Rattus norvegicus: one gene and its partners. The protein of the gene in region 1 binds, or shares a complex with, the protein of each later gene. Links are inferred from orthologs where the notes say so. Each region holds a gene or a part of one and is shown on either strand. Other genes may lie near its edges.

The links.
Region 2: the proteins of Gpr161 (region 1) and Gnal are in contact, whole or in part, in a cryo-EM structure (PDB 8KH4), measured with the Homo sapiens proteins. The link is inferred for Rattus norvegicus from reciprocal best matches to the Homo sapiens genes GPR161 and GNAL. Residues at the interface, in NP_001254539.1 of Homo sapiens: Arg125, Ala128, Val129, Leu130, Pro132, Met133, Tyr135, Pro136, Met137, Ile139, Ile211, Val214, Ala215, Lys218, Ala219, Lys267, Ala268, Thr271, Trp327, Asn328, Lys329, Arg332; in NP_001135811.1 of Homo sapiens: Ala41, His43, Lys203, Val204, Phe206, Phe363, Cys366, Arg367, Asp368, Ile370, Gln371, Arg372, His374, Leu375, Gln377, Tyr378, Glu379, Leu380, Leu381.
Region 3: the proteins of Gpr161 (region 1) and Gnas are in contact, whole or in part, in a cryo-EM structure (PDB 8SMV), measured with the Homo sapiens proteins. The link is inferred for Rattus norvegicus from reciprocal best matches to the Homo sapiens genes GPR161 and GNAS. Residues at the interface, in NP_001254539.1 of Homo sapiens: Arg125, Ala128, Val129, Leu130, Pro132, Met133, Met137, Ile211, Val214, Ala215, Lys218, Ala219, Lys267, Ala268, Thr271, Ile272, Trp327; in NP_000507.1 of Homo sapiens: His41, Lys216, Val217, Phe219, Phe376, Cys379, Arg380, Asp381, Ile383, Gln384, Arg385, His387, Leu388, Tyr391, Glu392, Leu393, Leu394.

Annotation. Positions count from the first base shown.
Region 1 is NC_086031.1:80,135,173-80,138,822, forward strand, and holds part of Gpr161 (G-protein coupled receptor 161), read left to right. Parts: intron 1-342; 5' UTR 343-387; coding exon 388-758; intron 759-3,650. UniProt on the Homo sapiens protein: Key negative regulator of Shh signaling, which promotes the processing of GLI3 into GLI3R during neural tube development.
Region 2 is NC_086036.1:63,017,615-63,021,264, forward strand, and holds part of Gnal (guanine nucleotide-binding protein G(olf) subunit alpha), read left to right. Parts: intron 1-750; coding exon 751-809; intron 810-1,176; coding exon 1,177-1,297; intron 1,298-3,650. UniProt on the Homo sapiens protein: Guanine nucleotide-binding protein (G protein) involved as transducer in olfactory signal transduction controlled by G protein-coupled receptors (GPCRs).
Region 3 is NC_086021.1:183,541,120-183,544,769, forward strand, and holds part of Gnas (GNAS), read left to right. Parts: intron 1-420; coding exon 421-493; intron 494-3,025; coding exon 3,026-3,070; intron 3,071-3,650. UniProt on the Homo sapiens protein: Guanine nucleotide-binding proteins (G proteins) function as transducers in numerous signaling pathways controlled by G protein-coupled receptors (GPCRs).

The DNA of each region.
Region 1 (3,650 bases):
GATCCTCCCAAGAACCAAAATCTCCCATCATGCCTCACATCCCTACTAATTTCCCCTGGTCCCCTCGATGGCATCCAGCTGAGTGCTAAAGCTTTGGCATGTGGGCCTTTGGGAGACATCTCAAAGCCAGGGTACCACAGGGAGTGAGATGGGTTTGGCGGTCAGTTCCAGAGTCAGCAAGCCATACACAAAAGTTGTAGAGGTTTCATGGGGGAAGACTGTCCAGGTTCCCATCAAGTCGGCCAATGGGAAGTACATAACAGTCCCTGCTAAGCCTCCACTCCCTCTTTCATAAAGTGTGAATGAGTCATTCCCACCTCTGGTCTCGCCTTCTTTCTGCAGTGGTCCCAGCATGCTCTGCTCACCGCATCCCGAGGCGCACTGACCATGAGCCTCAACTCCTCCCTCAGCTACAGGAAGGAGCTGAGCAACCTCACTGCCGCAGAGGGTGGCGAAGGGGGCGCTGTCTCCGAGTTCATCGCCATCATCATCATCACTGTCCTCGTCTGCCTGGGCAACCTGGTCATCGTGGTCACCTTGTACAAGAAATCCTACCTTCTCACCCTCAGCAACAAGTTCGTCTTCAGTCTGACCCTGTCCAACTTCCTGTTGTCCGTGCTGGTGCTGCCGTTCGTGGTGACCAGCTCCATACGGAGGGAATGGATCTTCGGTGTGGTCTGGTGCAACTTCTCTGCCCTTCTCTACCTGCTGATCAGCTCGGCCAGCATGCTGACCCTTGGCGTTATTGCCATCGATCGGTAAGTTTGCATCTGATTTGGAGAGAGCCGAAGTGATCTCTGGTCTACTGGCTTCTGATGGACTTGTTCCTGGGAAGGGCACTAGAAGGCTCCTCTTAATGAGTGAGTGAACTGCGTTCTGCCTCTTCTTCAGCTCCTTAGCCAGAGCCCTTCTTGTTTTATCTGTCTACATGTTGTGTGTAGTCAAGTGCTTCACGTGATGTTCCCGTGGGTGACAGATTGTATGTTTGAGTGCACGTACCACATAGCCCAGGTGTGCAGAATGTCTAACGTCTAAGGTTTATACCAACCCTCTGTAATGTCTTCTGCATAACAAAATCACCACGTGACAGGCTCAGAATGGTTTCCTTTTGTTATGTGATGCATGACGGTAACTTTATAGGAGAGTGGAATGTCAGAGTAGGGACTGAATCCCATCTTTAGACTCAGCCATTCCTCTTGGCCATGTGCTTGATGTGTCTTGCTTTGGTCTTTGCCCTATCTTGACTGGTGGAGCGCATATAAAAGCTCCCTTTATTCCTTTGTTCTGTGGAGATGGCTCAGGACCGGTTGGGGGAGCAGTGGGAAGGTATACAGCCCAGGGAGTAGTGATATGTGGAGAAGCCCAGCATACTTTTGTAGCCCGTGTTGATCCCACCTGTGGCATAACTGGGACAGAGGGAACAGACACCAGTGCCCACCAGTGGCCACACTGATCAGCTGCACCCCGGGTTCCGTGCTGTGCTGGCAGGTGTAGCTTTCAATCATATGCTTCACTTGTGATCCACAAGCACTGGAATTCTTGAAAACAGAGAATAGAGCCAAGGTCTGTGTGACTTCCTGGAAGTTGGGAAGGATCTTAATGGGGGACGCTAGGGACAATTCAGAGGGGGCCAATCAGGGATGTCATCACAGGCTGACAGAAGCCTCCAGACTCTTGGGAACATGGTTATTTGGGTTGGACTGGCTGCCCTGAACACAGCAACGCTGAACTCTAAGGCTGGATTCTTGTTTTCCCCATGGCTTTGTAGAGAATGTCAAATGAATGAGTCAAACAAACCAATTAGCTTCCCCACATGTAGTAAAACGGCATAAATCAAAAGAATGAAAGAAAACTCACAGTGTAGCCAGCCAGGGACAGCCACGGCATGTTTTCAGGGTATCTTCTCTAGCAGTACACTTTTTAGATGTTTACTTTTCGGATTTGTTTGTTTTGTACGTATGTTTTGCCTCCATGTATGTATGTGCGTCATGTGTGTGCATGGTGGCTGCCGAGGTCAACAGAAGGCATTGGATCTTCTGAAGCTAGAGTTAGGGGTAGTTGTGAACCACCAGTTGAGCACCACAAACCAAACCCAGGTCCTTTGCAAGAATGGCCAGCGTCCCCAACCACTGAGCAGTCTGTCCGGCTGCTCCATAGTGCATCTTTTTAAAAAGATTGTATTTTATTTTTAATTCTGTGCATACATATGCCATGCGTGCATGTGTGTGCAAGTGCAGGTGCTCAAAGAGGCCAGAAGAGGATGTTGGTGTCTCTGAATCTGGAGTTACAGGCGGTTGTGATCCACACAACACAGCTGCTGGAAACTGACCCCTGTGTCCCTTGCAGGAATGGCAAGCACAGAGCCATCTGCCCAGCCCAACTGTACCCTTTGTACAATGGGCTGGCATTCACATTCTGCTTTGTCATTTAGCACGCAATCATGAACATCACCTCTGTGCTATTAGTGGTCATGAGCTACTCTGTGATGGGCCATGACTGATTCCTCATTACTGGATTTAGGTGGTTTCACACAGCTCTTTGTAGCGATCACATGACCCTGTTCCATTTGCAGAACTGCTGTGTTGTCAGTAAAAGTAAAACACATTTCCAAGATACTTAGTGGAGAAAGATAAGGAGACTCTTCCAAAGGTAGACAAGTGTCCCAGCATCCTACTGAGATGTATAAGACAGAATAAGGGATTTGGAAGTTTGTTGGCAGTTGAGAGGAAACAGATACTGTCAAAACTTTATATTTTAAAAACTAATGGCTTTTGAACATCCATGTTCGGGCCCTGTGGAAGCAGACCAAGGCTGAGCAGCTTAGGTGTGGATGAACGTTGGTCCCCTGAGCAGTGCTGCACTCTGCACTGGGTCATAGTGGCAGACTGCACATGTAGCTCCAGGAAGATGCAAACTGCTCCCTTAAATCTGGGGTCAAGTTAAGCAAAGGTGAGAGTGACAGATCCTCAGACTATACCACCACAGTGTATGGACAGTTTACCTGTGCCAGTGTTAGGGGCATTATTGGCTGCTCTAAGGCCCAAGGCATGGTCTTGGGGAGTAAGCTACGGACACCAAACTGCCCACCAGAGGACATCTTGGCAGCACAGACTTAACAATACAGAACAGCACCTATGGATAGCTACAGAAGTCGCTGCTGCTGCTAGGTAGGGCAGTGAGTGCTTAGATAGAGAGGCATTTTGAGTGACATCCTAAAGAGCAAATAGGACTGCACAGGTTTGCAGGATGTGGGGAGCTCCCCTCTACTTAGCAGATAGGCTGTTTATTCAATTATTGACCATTTGTACTGGGAACACGTAGCTGAATGAGGTAGGAAATATGCTGTAAAATTAATATCGAAGGGGAGGTGAGGTTGGGATCATATAACTCTGGAGTGTTCCACTATGGAAACGATTTCAGTGTGCCATGGGTGCCATGAGAATGCAGAGGAAGAGACAAGACAAAATAAGATAGAAGTGCCAGGGCGTATGCCAAGCACGTAGCATCTGACAGCTAGAAACCCGGTGATAGGGTTGGGCGCAGACAGACTCACCCACTAGAGCCTCTGTCCTCACAGCCTGGCCCCATGGTCAGTCAGTGACGAAGGGATTTCCTTGTGATGAGGGAGAGTCACCAAGACATGGTTGTCT
Region 2 (3,650 bases), on another chromosome or scaffold:
GGTTGGCATTGAGATTCAGGAACAGGCTGTGTGAGCTGGACTCCAACAAGAGCACTGAGAAGCTCACACACTAGGAGGCATAGCTCTAGGAAAGGGGGCATGGGCAGGAGGAAGGCCAGGGCCCGCCTGATGAGCCACGAGGACACTAAGAAAACTGCATAAACCGAGCCCGGGTCAAACAACTGGAGAGCCTCAGGGAGAGCAATGCCATCTGCCCGAGTGAAGGTGATAGGCACCTCCTGACAGGCACTGTTCAGAAGCGCCTGACAGATGAGAGGGCTGTGGGTATAGCTGGGTCAGGAGGAAGCCCTCCCACTTCCGCAGGACAGACAGTCTTCTGAGGCTGAGACAAGTGATCAGAAAGTCCTGCCCTAGCACAGACTTAGCATGCACTTGGTACAAGATGTGATATAAACTAGAAAGGACTGCATCTATTAGGCACCTACCATGTATCCCTAGACACTATTCCAGCCGTTTTTCTGCCATACTTTTGACTCCTACAACCACAATATAGAATGAAAAGAGGACAAGCAGAAGCTGGGAGAGGCAGCCGGACTTGTAGCTCACGACCAAGGGCCGGGACACAGGGGTTGCATCACGAACGACCATTCTGGCAATAAAGGAGAAGCATGAAAATATGTGCCCTTTGCCTCAGTTTCCCCAGATAACTGACATCTCTCAGGGCGAAAGCATGTGCCCTTGACCCCCACTTCCCCGGATAACTGGCGTCTCTCTGTCTCTCTTCCACAGCATGTTTGACGTTGGAGGCCAGAGGGATGAGAGAAGAAAATGGATCCAGTGTTTTAACGGTGATTCGCATGCTTTGTAGCTGCATGCTGGCTCCCGCCCCTGTGCCTAGCTGCATTTTAGTCAGACAAACTCTAATCCAACTGTGTGTAAATAATAGTTAAAAATAACCACGGTCTCCTTAAACACGAATCTCGTGCTCGCTTCGGCACCACATATACTAAAAAACACAAATTAAGCATCCCACATACCCATTATCTTTTTGGGTAGAGCCCTGGTCAACTGCGGCCATGCATACGGCCCATATTCTAAATGCATTCTAGATGCAATCCCCAAATGTCAGTGTCTGGGACCTGCGCAGTCATAACCCCAGCACAACTGACACTGTCCGTCTGAAGTGCTCCCCTTTCCCTCTCTACCCCACCGTAGATGTCACTGCCATCATCTATGTGGCAGCCTGCAGCAGCTACAACATGGTGATCCGGGAAGATAACAACACCAACAGACTCCGGGAGTCGCTGGACCTGTTTGAAAGCATCTGGAATAACAGGTAATGAATAAACTCAGACTCAACACTAGAGCACAGACCTTGGGTTAAAAGTATCTTCTGAAGACTGTTGCTTTGCTATTGTTGTCCTTAAAAAGTACCCACGTTAGCCAAGTGTGTCAGCACATACCTGAAACAGGAAGGCTAAATCAAAAGGATCAGAGTTCAAGGCCAGCCTGGGCTACAGAGCTAGACCTTGTAAACAAAAACGTGAAGCAGAGGAGACGGTTCACTGAGTAAACTGTATGCTTATGCAAGCACGAAGACTTGAATTTGGATCCCTAGCACCCAAAACCCAAACCTAACAAAACAAAAAATACTGAACATATCCATGAGTGCCCATAACCCAAAAAACAGGGAGGCAGAGACAAGCAGATTTCCAATCCAAAATGGCCAAGTTCAAGGAAGAGACCCTGTCTCAAAACTAAATGGAGAATGATTTTGGAAAATATCTGGATATCAGCCTCTGGCTTCCACAGATTCCCCCACAGGCATATGTACACACAGTAATAAATCCTGTCATTTATTACATGATGCTGTGAACAGACATCATGACCAAGGCAACTCTTTTTTTTTTTTAAGATTTATTTATTATAGATAAGTACACTGTAGCTGTCTTCAGACACACCAGAAGAGGGCATCAGATCTCATTACATATGGTTGTGAGACACCATGTGGTTGCTGGGATTTGAACTCAGGACCTCTGGAAGAGCAGGCAGTGCTCTCAACCACTGAGCCATCTCTCCAGCCCGACAAGGCAGCTCTTATATGGACAACATTCAATTGGGACTGGCTTACAAGTTCAGAAGTTCAGCCCATTATCATCAAGGAGGGAACAGGACAGCATCCAAGCAGGCATGGTGCAGGAGGAGCTGAGAGTTCTACATCTTCATCTGAAGGCTGCTAGGATACTGGCTTCTTGGCAGCTAGGATAAGAGTCTGAAAGCTCACACCCACAGTGACACACCTACTCCAACAGGATCACACCTTTTAACAGTGCCACTCCCTGGGCCGAGGATATACAAGCCATTGCATTCCACTCCCTGGCCCCATAGGGTTGTCCAAACACATGAGGCTATAGGGGTCATGACTAAACATAGCATAATACAAAATACATTTAGTCCAACTTCCAGAGTTCCCTTAGTCTGTAGCAGTCTCAACAATGTTAAAAGTCCAAAGTTCAAAATCTCATCTGAGATTCATCCAATCACTTACCTGTAATCCCCAAAGCCAGACAGGAAACCAGCTGGGCAAACTCCAAACCCTGCATCTCCAAGTCCGATGTCAAAGCAGTTTTCAGATCTCAACTCCTTTTTCGTCTTTGTGGACTGCAACAGTCTTCTTTCTCCTGGATTGGTTCCACTCCCTGTTAATAGCTTTCCTCAGCAGATAGCCCATGGCTCTGGCATCTCAAATATCTTGGGGTCTCCAAAGCAACTTTAATGTTACAGATTCTTGTTTCAATGTCTGGGATCCACACATGATCTTCAGGCCTCCTCCAAAGGGCTGGTGTCACTTCTCCAGCTCTGCCCTCTGTAGGACTCTAAGCCCAGGCTGATCCACTCCACTGCTGCTGCTGTTCTTGGTGATCATCCCATGGTCCTGACATCTCCCATACACTGGGGTCTTCTGCTGCAACTAGGCTTCACCATTAGCCTCTCATAGGCTCCCTTCTTGTGCTTAAGCTTCAACATCTTTATATGACACCTTTAGTCCAGAGCTGTCAGCTGCAAATGAGGCTGCACCTTCACCAATGGCCTTCCCTGGCCTCTCACAGTGCCAAGCCTCAGCTGCTCTTCATGACCCCTCCATGCTTTCTTTTTTTTTTTTTTTTTTCTTTTCTTTTCTTTTTTTTTTCTTTTCTTTTTTTTTTTTTTCGGAGCTGGGGACCGAACCCAGGGCCTTGCGCATGCTAGGCAAGCGCTCTACCACTGAGCTAAATCCCCAACCCCCCTCCATGCTTTCAAAACCAGCACCACCTGGGTGACTCTTACACATTACCAAGTACAGATGCATCCTGAGGTACAGCCGTGGCTATCTCTGGATATAGCTTCTTTGTGCTCTCAGAAAACACTTCTCGTTAGATTTCACTTCAGTGACGCTGGTCTCTTCTTAATCACCGCTAATTTCTTAGCTCCAGCTGACCAGCATCAATTGTCCCAGTGGCCCCTTCTATTCTTGACTCTAAAGCTAGAGCCACGTTGCTGAAGCTGCCGAGTTCTGCTGCTTGCTGGGGCTGGAGCATGGCCCCCTTGTTCTATTACATTATCACCAGCTTTCTGTTTTCCAACTCCTTCACTGCCTAAGCTTGCTGTCTTGGAACTTGCTCTGCAGACTGACTTTGAACTCAGAGATT
Region 3 (3,650 bases), on another chromosome or scaffold:
AAATTAGGTGGCTGCTGCGATTCTGTGTACCTTTGACCACATTTCAATACTAAGTTCACAGTTTTGACTTAAAATTTTCACCCCTCCAGTAACAATGACGTCATTCCTTCATCGCCTCATGAGTTTTAAAAAGCCCAAAGAGAAAACAAAACAACAACAACAAAACTCACAAGGAAAAAAAAAGCTATTTAAGAACAGCAGAGCACTTAATTCTTGCTTGTTACCCTATGGTGAGATATTTCAGGTAGACGCCATGTTGGACGTGTCTGTTGTTTTTTGCTGCGTCGTCATGTGAAGGAGGTTTGCAGTTGTGTCACTGTGTGTATGTTGTGTGCTGCTTCTGCTGCTTTCCAAGGCCATCATCCAGGTGATGTGTGACAAGCCTATTTCTTAACCCAAGCCCTCACTTTCCTTTCTCAGGTGCTGGAGAGTCTGGCAAAAGCACCATTGTGAAGCAGATGAGGATCCTACATGTTAATGGGTTTAACGGAGAGTAAGTGTCAAATCTGTGCAGGGCACTGAGCAGGACAGGCCGCACCTGGCCTGTAGGAGACAGGACTTTGGAAGGAGTGTGTACTAACCTCTAGAAAGCACAGCTGCTAATTGCTACTAATCATTTTTTTCTAATTTGCATATTAGACAGCCCAAGAAAGAGCTGATGGGTGCACCCCCACACCCTTCTCAACCTTTGGGGACAACACATAGGAATAAGAGTAAAAGCACCGGTGTCCACCCAAAGCGGCCCCTCGCGCTGGAAAATGGTGCCTGGTTGCAGAGGACAGTGAACAGCACTTGGCCGGGTGACAGCGTCTCTGAGGCCAGGTCCTCTGCCGCAGCCTCGTCTGCTGCAGTGCGGCTCCAACATGGCCGACGGGCCTTGGCCACCCCTTGGCCAGCCAGAGCTGGCCAACACAGGAGGTTCCCACCCACCACCCTGCAGGTTTCACTGGAGTCAACTGGTGTAGGGTTTTATACTCTCTCGGGGAAAATATCTTTTCAGTTACATCTTCACTTAAAAGTCGGAATCCACAACCCTTGCCGACAAGCTTCAAGCTCCCTGCTTCAGAATTAAAGAATTAACACGATAGGCAGATGCTTCTTTCTCTAATTAAAAAAAAAATCAGCACTCCTACCTGAACAGTTGAAAATGAGGTGTGAAAATGGTGGGAAGACAGGGACTTAGCTACTTCTGGCCAATCCGGGTGCTGTTTTGCCTTTGAAATGACCTTCCTGGTTTAAGACAATATGGCGGCGAGGCAATACCACAGTGACAGTAAAGGTTTTTCTTAAAACGAGACAGATAATGTGGCAAAGATGGGGTCCTGCCTTCCATGAAGAATGTGAACTGAGGAAATACTGAGGAAATAGTCAATAAATAGGGAGTTTGCCTTTTCGGTACCCATTGTTCTCGGTACTGATACAAGACAGCAAGGCTGAGGGACTTACCTAACGGGGACCAGCATCTGTCCCCTACCATGTATTAAGTGTTAGAGAAACAAATCGAACAGTACCTTTCAGGGTACTGACTCAAGTTCATTTTCATAGAAACTTCTAGAATTTGTTAGATCAACTAACCGGGTTTAAAAAAGAAAAAGATGACGTCACCCGTGCCACAGCTTTGGGCTCATGTGCTCCTTAAGTTGCAGCCCAAAACTCAAAGGTTAGTTAATATGCAGAAGGGGTTGGGGGCTAGCTCACTGACTTCAGGATTGAGTCAGTTACTGCTTTGTAACTGTAATCTATTAAATAATCCTGTCGCCTATGAGACACCAATTCTGAAATTACCGATTCCTGATCTATGCCTCTCTCAAAAAGTCTAAGCAACGAGATTGGCACCTGTCAGTCAACAAAAAGACCCCCCCCCCAGAGGTGCCCTGCCCTAGGTGTGAGGGACTCTTCAATATGAGGCTAGTTAAGCAAAAATAAACGTGGCCGTGCGCTGCAATCTATCTCTTCAAAAATGTCTGGAGAAAACGGGACAAGGCTAGTAGCGCTGTTTTTAAGAAGTGCAGCAGCCATTGTTTAGCCTGATGGAATCGGTGTCCTCCCTGAAGTTTAATTACTTCACAGATTTCCCTAAGTTCTTAACTCTTTTTTATATCCGTCCTCCCTGAGTGTTAGTGCGGTGGAGGGTTCTAAACCAGAACTTCTCATTTCTATTTTCTCCCTGAAAAGAGGAAGAAGCCTTCCTAGCTTGCCTTCTTTGTGGATCTCAGAGAAGTTAAATTTAGCCTGTGAAAGTGATATTTGGGACCTCCATGGGGGGCTGGATTCCTTATTTTGACCCCATACAATGACGGTTCTCTCACTGTGGTATAGCAGTAAGCTCGGGTCCATCTTGACGAGAAAGACTCAGCACCGTGCTCTGTTCTTGGACAGAGAACTATTAAATATGCCCTAACTGTCCATGGCCTGCCTACCACTACATTTTCCAAGAGTATAACATAATATTTATTTGACCTTCAGAAATACAGAGGGCAAAAGTAGATTTTTCCCAGCTCAGAGCTAACTTCCTGAAGTTTAATGCCAAGGGGGGAAAAATTAATATTGGTTGAGCTAATCGATCTCAAAGCTGAGTGTCACTGGCCCTGTACAAAGCCCCTACCACCACAGAAAGGTTAATTCATTTTGTACCAAGAAGTGAGGAATAGGAATGTCCCATCTGTGCTGCCATGGGCATGGATTGGACACAGAGAGGATTCTGACGTGCCCCACCCTCAGGAGTTAAGTCTGCCTCTGCTCCCTGGAGCTTGTGCATTTAGGGAAAGCAGAGGAAAACAATTACCCGTCCCTCCTGTCTCCAGCCTGAGTCTCCTGAGGGCCCTGCTAATGCAGGAAGGAAGGTATGGAGTCTCAGTAGACAGCCCCATTTAGCCAGAAAGTCGACCTAAGAGTGAACCGGGAGGATGGTACGCAGGACTGTCAGGTTTTCCTACCTGGCTGTTGGAGGTACAGAGACTGTGTGGGTTTTGTATGAAATTGCAGTGCCTTGCAGATAGGTGAGCTTTCAATCTCTCTTTAAAAGGGGCGGCGAAGAGGACCCGCAGGCTGCAAGGAGCAACAGCGATGGGTAGGCACATTCAAAACCAGAAAACTCCTAACCAAGCAGGGCAAACGAGAAGATCTTAGTGGGGAAACTGAGGACACAGACTGGGGACAAAGCAGAGATCACCTCAGGGCCATCAGCCATCTCTCTCGGTGTGCATTTGCAAATGACGTGTCAACAAGTAAAGTGCAAAACAGAAAATGTGTTTGGCTCAAAGACTAACTAGACACAGCTGGGGGAAAGTTGGCCATTTTAAGATTTTGAGAATTGATGCTTTCCCATATGATCTTTATTTCCCCCAGTTCTCCATTTAAACCAACGACTTGCCTTTCAAAACTACTAAATTCCGCCCATACGACGGTCAGTCTGACTTTAAATTTTCAGACCCATTTGGAAAAAAAAAATCTTAATTTACTTCCTCAATTAAAAAATATGCCTAACACTGTAGCCCTTAGGCAGCAGGCCGTTGATGACTAGCTGTCTTGATAACCTCTGGCCTCAGAAATTATTTTAAAAAAAAAATCTTTAACTGTTAATGCGAGGCACTTTACGTTAGCCAACGAACGAGAGCATTTGTGACGGCACCCCACTCATCCCCATTGTT